Macaca mulatta: one gene and its partner. The protein of the gene in region 2 interacts with the protein of the main gene of each other region in a pairwise test. Links are inferred from orthologs where the notes say so. Each region holds a gene or a part of one and is shown on either strand. Other genes may lie near its edges.

What was found.
Region 1: the proteins of ADARB1 (region 2) and PRKRA interact in binary tests that used the Homo sapiens proteins (3 or more experiments, as listed by UniProt). The link is inferred for Macaca mulatta from reciprocal best matches to the Homo sapiens genes ADARB1 and PRKRA.

What each region holds. Positions count from the first base shown.
Region 1 is NC_133417.1:83,391,608-83,395,428, forward strand, and holds part of PRKRA (interferon-inducible double-stranded RNA-dependent protein kinase activator A), read right to left. Parts: intron 3,749-3,821; exon of another isoform or gene 3,238-3,748; intron 2,380-3,237; coding exon 2,301-2,379; intron 1,292-2,300; coding exon 1,174-1,291; intron 1-1,173. UniProt on the Homo sapiens protein: Activates EIF2AK2/PKR in the absence of double-stranded RNA (dsRNA), leading to phosphorylation of EIF2S1/EFI2-alpha and inhibition of translation and induction of apoptosis.
Region 2 is NC_133408.1:2,331,792-2,335,612, forward strand, and holds part of ADARB1 (double-stranded RNA-specific editase 1), read right to left. Parts: intron 1,848-3,821; coding exon 1,666-1,847; coding exon of another isoform or gene 1,662-1,665; intron 1-1,661. UniProt on the Homo sapiens protein: Catalyzes the hydrolytic deamination of adenosine to inosine in double-stranded RNA (dsRNA) referred to as A-to-I RNA editing.

The DNA of each region.
Region 1 (3,821 bases), on a different chromosome or scaffold from region 2:
GGGTTCTGCCATGTTGGCCAGGCTGGTCTCGAACTCCTGACCTCAGACGATCGGCCCACCTCAGCCTCCCAAAGGGCTGGGATTATAGGTGAGCCACTGTGCCTGGCCTGTATAGTTACTAATTCTTACACTTTTGAAGGCATTTGTTTTAAGTTTTTAATAGTTATGCTTTCTGTTTTTCTATAATAATTGTATTTTCCTATGTCTAGCATTACTGAACCACATTTAATTCTGACCAATTATTCATATTTATTAAAATACATCTGAATTATAACTCCTCTCTCTCAATGTCTATTTCCTGCTTGTGATCTTCTCTAAACTGACAATTATATGGAATTCCTTTAAACAGGAATAAGAAAGGCACAGGGGATGCTGGAGTTGAAAGATACCACAAATATCTATCTCCATGTTTTTGTTTTATAGATTAAAAAACTGAGGTCCAGAGAGATTAATTTGCTTAACTTTGCAAATCAAGGACTGCATCAAAAATGGAAGTTGAGGTTCTTGCTTTTGACCTGGTGCTTTCTGTAAGAGCCCACACTACCTCCCAAAGGCACACAGTTTCTTATTACTTGAAACTATTATCTAGTTAAGGTAAAATCCCATTTTAAGCCACTTTAAAAAATGACAAAAACATGCCAGAGAAGTTAACAGGAATTCTCACTAGTACTTTCTAAAGTGACAGTGTTTCTTACAGTTTATATCCTTTATAACATAGGAGTTGCTACAATTAAGAAAGATAATTTTCATTTTTATCTCACTGCAATTATTTGCCATCTAGTCTCTTATTAATCATATCGTTTTCAAGGGTAATCTTCCTCTAGTCCTATTTTCTAGATAGAATAGCTCTTAAATAAAATCCAAGAGATTTGCTATAGCTTTGTCTCCAAAATGAGTTTTTTTAAAGTCACTAATTTATCAATGAAGACTGTTTAAAGTACAAGCCAATAGTTTCTATTAATAATCTCTGATTTTTAAAAATATCAAATTAAGACTAAGTATCTTAAGCCAAATATTTATACTTAAGTTCAGCCTCAGAAAGTCAGAGACTATAAAAGAGGAGTGTATCAACTTTTCTGCATAGAAATACTGGAAAACATTATGACAGAAATTTCTATAGTCATTCATCATCTGAAAATATTTCAAATGCCTTTAATTGTAAGAAATAAGTACCAGTTTCCATAAATGACTCTAGCCTGCAAATTGTGGTATATTCTCTCTTATGAGCAGGTCCTCCCTCCTGGGAAAGGGTATATTCAGGAAGTCTCCAGCCATGATGAATAGCCAATTCCTATAAAATCAAGATGAGGCTTTAATAGTAATTTTATGCAATGGCTCAATCACATAAGTATTTTCTTAATTTTGATCCCATTTCTATGTATATGTTTGAAAAGAATAGTGATTTTCTGCAACGGATAAAAGAGGGAAGACCCTCTATTTCTCAGAGACATTCCTGCATTTTGTATCTTTATATCCCAATACCAAAACTGAATCAGTTTTCTGCTATGAATGGTGTTCTTGAATTAAACCATAGTGAGCTGGTATGAGACTTCAACTAGAAAAACAGGCTACTACCGCCCTCTTTGGGAACACCAGAGGAGACCATCTACAGGTTTCACTGCCATCAGTTCCTAAAGTCCCTCCCCTCCTAGCTATAGACTTCCAAACCCACAGCTGGCCAAGAACACATGAGTAGGGACAGCAAACAACAGACTTGGATGAGGTGGGGGACAGAAGGTGAAGAAAACTATAGAAAAGCTCATAGTGCTGGAAAAAGAGACCAAAGGACTGGCTGAATAATGGGGAGGGGAATGGCCTAACAGAGCACATGAATAGTCTGCAAGGATATTCTGCATATAGAAATTCAAAGCTGAATATGTGTGCATATGTGAGTGTGTGTAGATATAAATTTTTCTTTTTTCGGTAGAATAAGCAAATAAGCAGACTCCTTTTCTTGAGTTAGGTTCACTGATTTGATTTAGGCTCTTTATAAAGTCTTCTGTCTCAACAGAAGTAGAAAGAGATTTGTCACAAGAGTAGCAAGAACTATTCTTAAAGTATAAAACACTCTACCCATGTGCACTGAGGGCCTATTGATCTTAAATGAGAATTGTATAAGCCAAAGGCAAATACTGTATATGGAATAATTTCAAGTTAGCTCTATAAATCTAATGATCGTAAGTTGGAAAACAAAATATATCACTATCTTGTCTTTAAAATATTAATTCCTTGTGTTAGCCCCTCTGATATTACAAACTTATTATATATTTCATCAGTAGGCAAAGAACTGTACAACTTACCTGTAATGAACCAATAGGATTAAGCTGGTTCTTTGGTTGCTTGGAAGGGTCAGGCATTAAGGGATCAGGAACTGCAAAGCTAAATATTTTTTAAAAGTGTTATAAAACAAAATAATTTCCCCCAAATTATGAAATAAATGACAAGCATTTTCTAATTAACTCTCTATGTCTTTGCTCTTGTCATTCCTTCTACATGGAATGCCCTTTTCTCAGGCCTCTTCTATGGGAATCTGATCTGTCATCCAAGATATATCTCAAATGACACTTTCTCCAAGAAGCCTATCCTTTTACCCCAGTGGTTTATAATCTCTCCCTTCTTTGAAACATTATAACACACGGTTTAATCCTTTCTTGAGGAAATTGTTTTACCATAAATTATATACTCTTACAAATACATATAATTTGTCCATCCTTCACCATACCTCTCCCCTATTCAGACTATAAGCTCCTTGAGGTAGGGCCTATGTATCACTTACCTACATAAGCTTTGTGGCGTTTTGTACGTAATAGGCATGTCATAAAAAAATATTTAAAGAATACTCTGTTACAACTATGCAAAAAATAGAAGAGTAACAATGATCCAGAAAATTGAACCTGGCAATGTGAACAATACAGATTATTTATAAACATTGTTTTTTTCATCCAGAGAACTATGAAGAGAGATCTGTTTGATCTGTCATCTGCTCAGTGCTGGGATAATCCTCTAAGATTTACATGTATCCTGCATAAAATAGATGGCTTAGATGAATTTGGTTTTAGCATGTGGGGATTATGATTAGGGAAAAAGAGAACCTCTTCTAGGGAGTTGGGAATTACTAGTTACTTGGCAGGTCAGTGCTTAAAACTGAATAAGCGGCATTTCAAGGTTACTACCACCTAGGCAACTGGAGTCATTTTTCCATGACAAGTGAGGTTTAGTTATTGCCACTTCCTCAAGGTTTTTTTTTTTTCTTTTTCTCCAACTGCGAGAACTTCAAGCTTTACATAGGCTGATGAGATATGAGTATTCACTTACAATGCTGCATGCCGAAGCTACCCAAATAATTGTGATGGAGAAGTGAGAAAGTCTCTGTATTAAGTCAGGCCACTTTAGGCCTGATTACAGCTTAGTAATTCCCATTTTATCTGTCAAGAAGCACAAATATAGTAAAGTTTGTTAGCTTTTTTTGCTGACAAAGTGAAGTGCCCAGGTGCAGAAAGGACACTCTATACCCCTCATTTCTACAAGTGTACTTACTGGTTGGGTTCACCTTCAGGCTGTACAGAAACAGCATGGCCATCACCAGTGGGGGAGAACCCAATACCTGCCATGTCATTTGGCATGTCTTTTGTTTGTTTGGAGACAGAGTCTTGCTCTGTTGCCCAGGCTGGAGTGCAATGGTGCGATCTCAGCTCACTGCAACCTCTGCCTACTGGGTTCAAGGGATTCTTGTGTCTCAGCCTCCCAAGTAGCTGGGATTACAGGAGCATGCCACCACACTTGGTTAATTTTTTGTATTTTTAGTAGAGATGGAGTTTCAC
Region 2 (3,821 bases):
GCAAAATGATTCTGCCTTTGCAGATTTTAGTTATGGATGAGATATTGCTTAGACAGCGCTGTTCAACGAGGCCCTAATTAACAACTATTTTTGAGTATCACCTATGTGTCCCATATTCCACATGCAATGTTTTAAGTACCTATGCATATAAAAGGTGAGTGACAGCTAAAATTAAAGCACTCTTCCCTCAACTACAGAAGATAGAGAACAAAGAGGGAAATTTTTGGAATCATGAGAAATTCACACACCAACACACAACAAAATACTTCAAAAGACATTGATTGGTGCTACAATTTCAACTTACCTACCATCAGGTTTGATCTGTCTATTTCGTTTTTCTTAAAACACAATGGTTAAGTTAGGGAGCTGTAAAATTTAATTCAAGACAACTGTTTTTCCCCATCCCTGCCTCCTTCATGTGCTCTGACAGGCATGCTTTCAAATAAAATTCCACACTGCTTTTTCTCAAATAAAAGGCGTGCTAGTAGCCAAGCACTAGAAAACAAGGCAGCACACACACACGCACACACCCCCCAAAATAAACGTCACACACACACACCCCCCCCCCCCACGCAAAATAAACGTGTTTCAGGTTAGGATTATGGTTTTAGTTTTGAGCTTTTAAAAAAGTAGTAAAATTATACATTTAAAAAGATAAAAATACCTTAACTGTGTCCTTTTAAATAAAGGTGAGCTTAGAAGTTAGGACCTTTGAATTCAAAAGTTCCTGTTCACTTTACTGTTAGCCACTGAAATTCTAAAAAAAGAAAAAAGAAAACCAGCAATGAAGGGCATCGAGGGTAGTGCAGACACCAGGGAGACAACCTCTGCCTGCCATTGGCGCCCCTGGTTACACTGTCACCACCTCTCGGAGCCAGCAGGGCCTCTCCAGGGAGCCCACGGCAGGCTCCAGGCAGCTCATCACTGTGGACACCCTGGTGGCTCCAAGACAGCGTAAACATCCAGGAGACCTGGCTCAGGGTGAGTCTGGGAAAGCCAATGCTGACATAATTTTCAGTGTCTGTGAGTCTCTGCCGCTGAGACAGGAATGAACACACTGCCTGAATGAGAGGAAAAGAGACAGCTGCCCAGCCCAGTCATAATTTCATTCTTTTCATTTTTCATTTCTTTCTTTTTTTTTTTTTAAGACAGGATCTCACTCTGTTGCCCAGGCTGGAGTGCAGTGGTGCAATCTTGGCTCACTGCAACCTTGACCTCCTGGGCTCAGGTGATCCTCCCACCTCAGCCTCCCAAGTAGCTGGGACCATAGGCGTGCCCCACCTCATCTGGCTGATTTTTTTGTATTTTTGTAGAGATGGGCTTTTGCCATGTTTCCCAGGCTGGTCTTGAAATTCTGGGCTCAAGCAATCCACTAGCCTTGGCCTCCCAAAGTGTTGGGATGACAGGTGTGAGCCCATCAATTCCTCTACGAATGGCTAGGTTTGTGATCGGTAAAGGAGATTAATCTTGCAGAGGGACTCATTTAAAAGGCCCTAGAGACAAGGCCCGGAGAGACCCAGAAAGATCACCTTGGGTCCCTTTAGAAGGACTCTCATGTTCTTCTGATAGCCACAGAGCAGCTCAGGTGGTGTTTTTTTCATTCATGAGGATGAAAACATTGCAAAATCAAGACAGATTAAATCAGCACACTCCAGAGATACTTGCCACTGAGCAAAGGCTTGTTGAGGGTGTAGAGAGGTGGCAGGTCCTCTATGTTGGAGATCCGCTGGTACATGGCCCTGGAAAGGTGGTCCCCATGGTAGAGGCTTCCCAGGATGATGCTCGAGAAGTAAATGGGCTCCACGAAAATGCTGAGCAAGGATCCCTGGATGCCCACCACGTTCCAGCTGGAGGGATAAGAAAGCACAGTCTTCAGGGAGCTCGGACTCAGTGCCGACGCGCCCCAGCCCAAGCCTGAGTGGTTACAGGGATGCACTGACAATTCTGCAGGATACCAACCAACTGACGAAGGAGCGAACAAAAGTAACAGACTGCTTTAGCAGCTTACGATCGCAAAGACAAAAATCTACTTAAAAGTTATTTTACGCTGTGATTTTCTTTACCATTACGTTTCCCATAATCAATGAGCCATGTGTGTTTCTTGTGAGAAAGTTGTGGGAAATATCAGAAAGGAAATTACGTATTTATTTCATTACAGCAGGTCCCCTTATCTGAGGTTTCACTTTCAGAGGTTTCAGTTACCCACTGTTAAGCATGATCTGAAAATACTAAATGAAAAAATTCCAGAAATAAACACTTCCAGACTTTAAATTGGATGCTGCTCTGAGGAGTGTGATGAAATCTTGTGCCGTCCAGCCAGGGGTGTGAACCATCCATGTTGCAGATGCCACTGGCCCGTTAGCGGTCACCTTGGTGACTAGATTGATGGTCGCAGCATCACAGTGCTTGCGCTCAAGTCACTCTTATTTTATTATTAATGACTGTTGTTAATCTCTTACTGTGTCTAATTATAAGTTAAACTTTATATAGGAATGTACTTACAGGAAAAATACCAGCACGTACAGGGTTCAGTCCTGTCTACAGTTTCAGGAGTCTACTGGGGGTCTTGAGACACATCTGCGGAAAAGCGGGGACCACTATACCTCTTTTAAAAATGATAGCTCTTCAAGGAGCCCTTCAAAACATTCAACTGCTTATTTCCTGTTCTCTGCAAGTGACAATGGCACTGAATGCACAGGGAGAGAGGGTGTGGGGTTTACAGCGGCTGCATGTGTGCAGCTGACATGCACGACACCAACTATGCACACCAATGGCAACTTAGGTATTCGTTATCAGGTCCAGCACACACATGCCTTCACAATATGCCTGTTCTCTCTTTCTGAGCCCCGCAAACAGCATGCTCTGCTCAGCCTGGGAGTTGCTGTGTCCAGAGCACCCTTTGCTGGGCACTATATACACATGGTGTGAGGTACTGGGGGGAGACACAGCCTAGGAGCTAAACAATAATGCAATGAAAAGACAAACAAAGAACCATAAATTGAGGTAAAATCAATTTGGAAGAAAGGGCAGGGTTCTGTGAAAAAGAAAAAGGGGTGTATGAACTTCAAGGAATGCTCCTGGGGTGACCCTGAAGCTCAGCCCCAAAGGAGGGGGCTGTGAGGCTGAGGGAGGAAGGCATGTCCCAACCTAGGGGGCAGGGGACGCAGGACAGCAGTAAGGGCAGCCAGGGCAGAGGGGCAGGGCAGGGGCCCCTGAGCAGCCAGGAGCCTGATGAGGGATGGGGCGGTATTCAGACGGCAGAGAGAGGCCAGAGAGAGAGAGAGAGCCAGCCACTCAAGCCTTTTGCTTACCTGCTGCCTGAGGCCTCCCTTCCCTGCCGCCCAAGCCCTCCACCCCGATTCTGACCTCCATGTAATTTACAGGTCCATGTCGGGTTATCCGCCCCATCCTACCCCAGCATGGGAAGAGGTTTCTGTCGGCTTTCTTTACTGACCTATCCCAGCACTCACAATATGTACCTGACACACACACAAGATCAATAAATGTGTCGAATGGACAAATCCTCCAATTCCTATGACACGTTCCTTCCACCTTCCAAAATGGAAATGAAAATGCAGGTTTCCCTAACTTACAGAAAAAGCATGAACTGATTCAATGCCTCTAAGAAACACAGGCCTATTTCTTCTCTAGATTAGAAGCCTCTACGCACTTAGAGCATCTTTAAGCTGAATTCAGTCTTCAGGGCAAACTTTAAAGCAGTGATCCTGCAAAAACCTACATTTGTTAGGAGTCATTAATTCTGAACACATGCTTTGTAAGAGAATTCCAGGAGTGTCTACAGCTCTGCAGAGGCCCTAGGT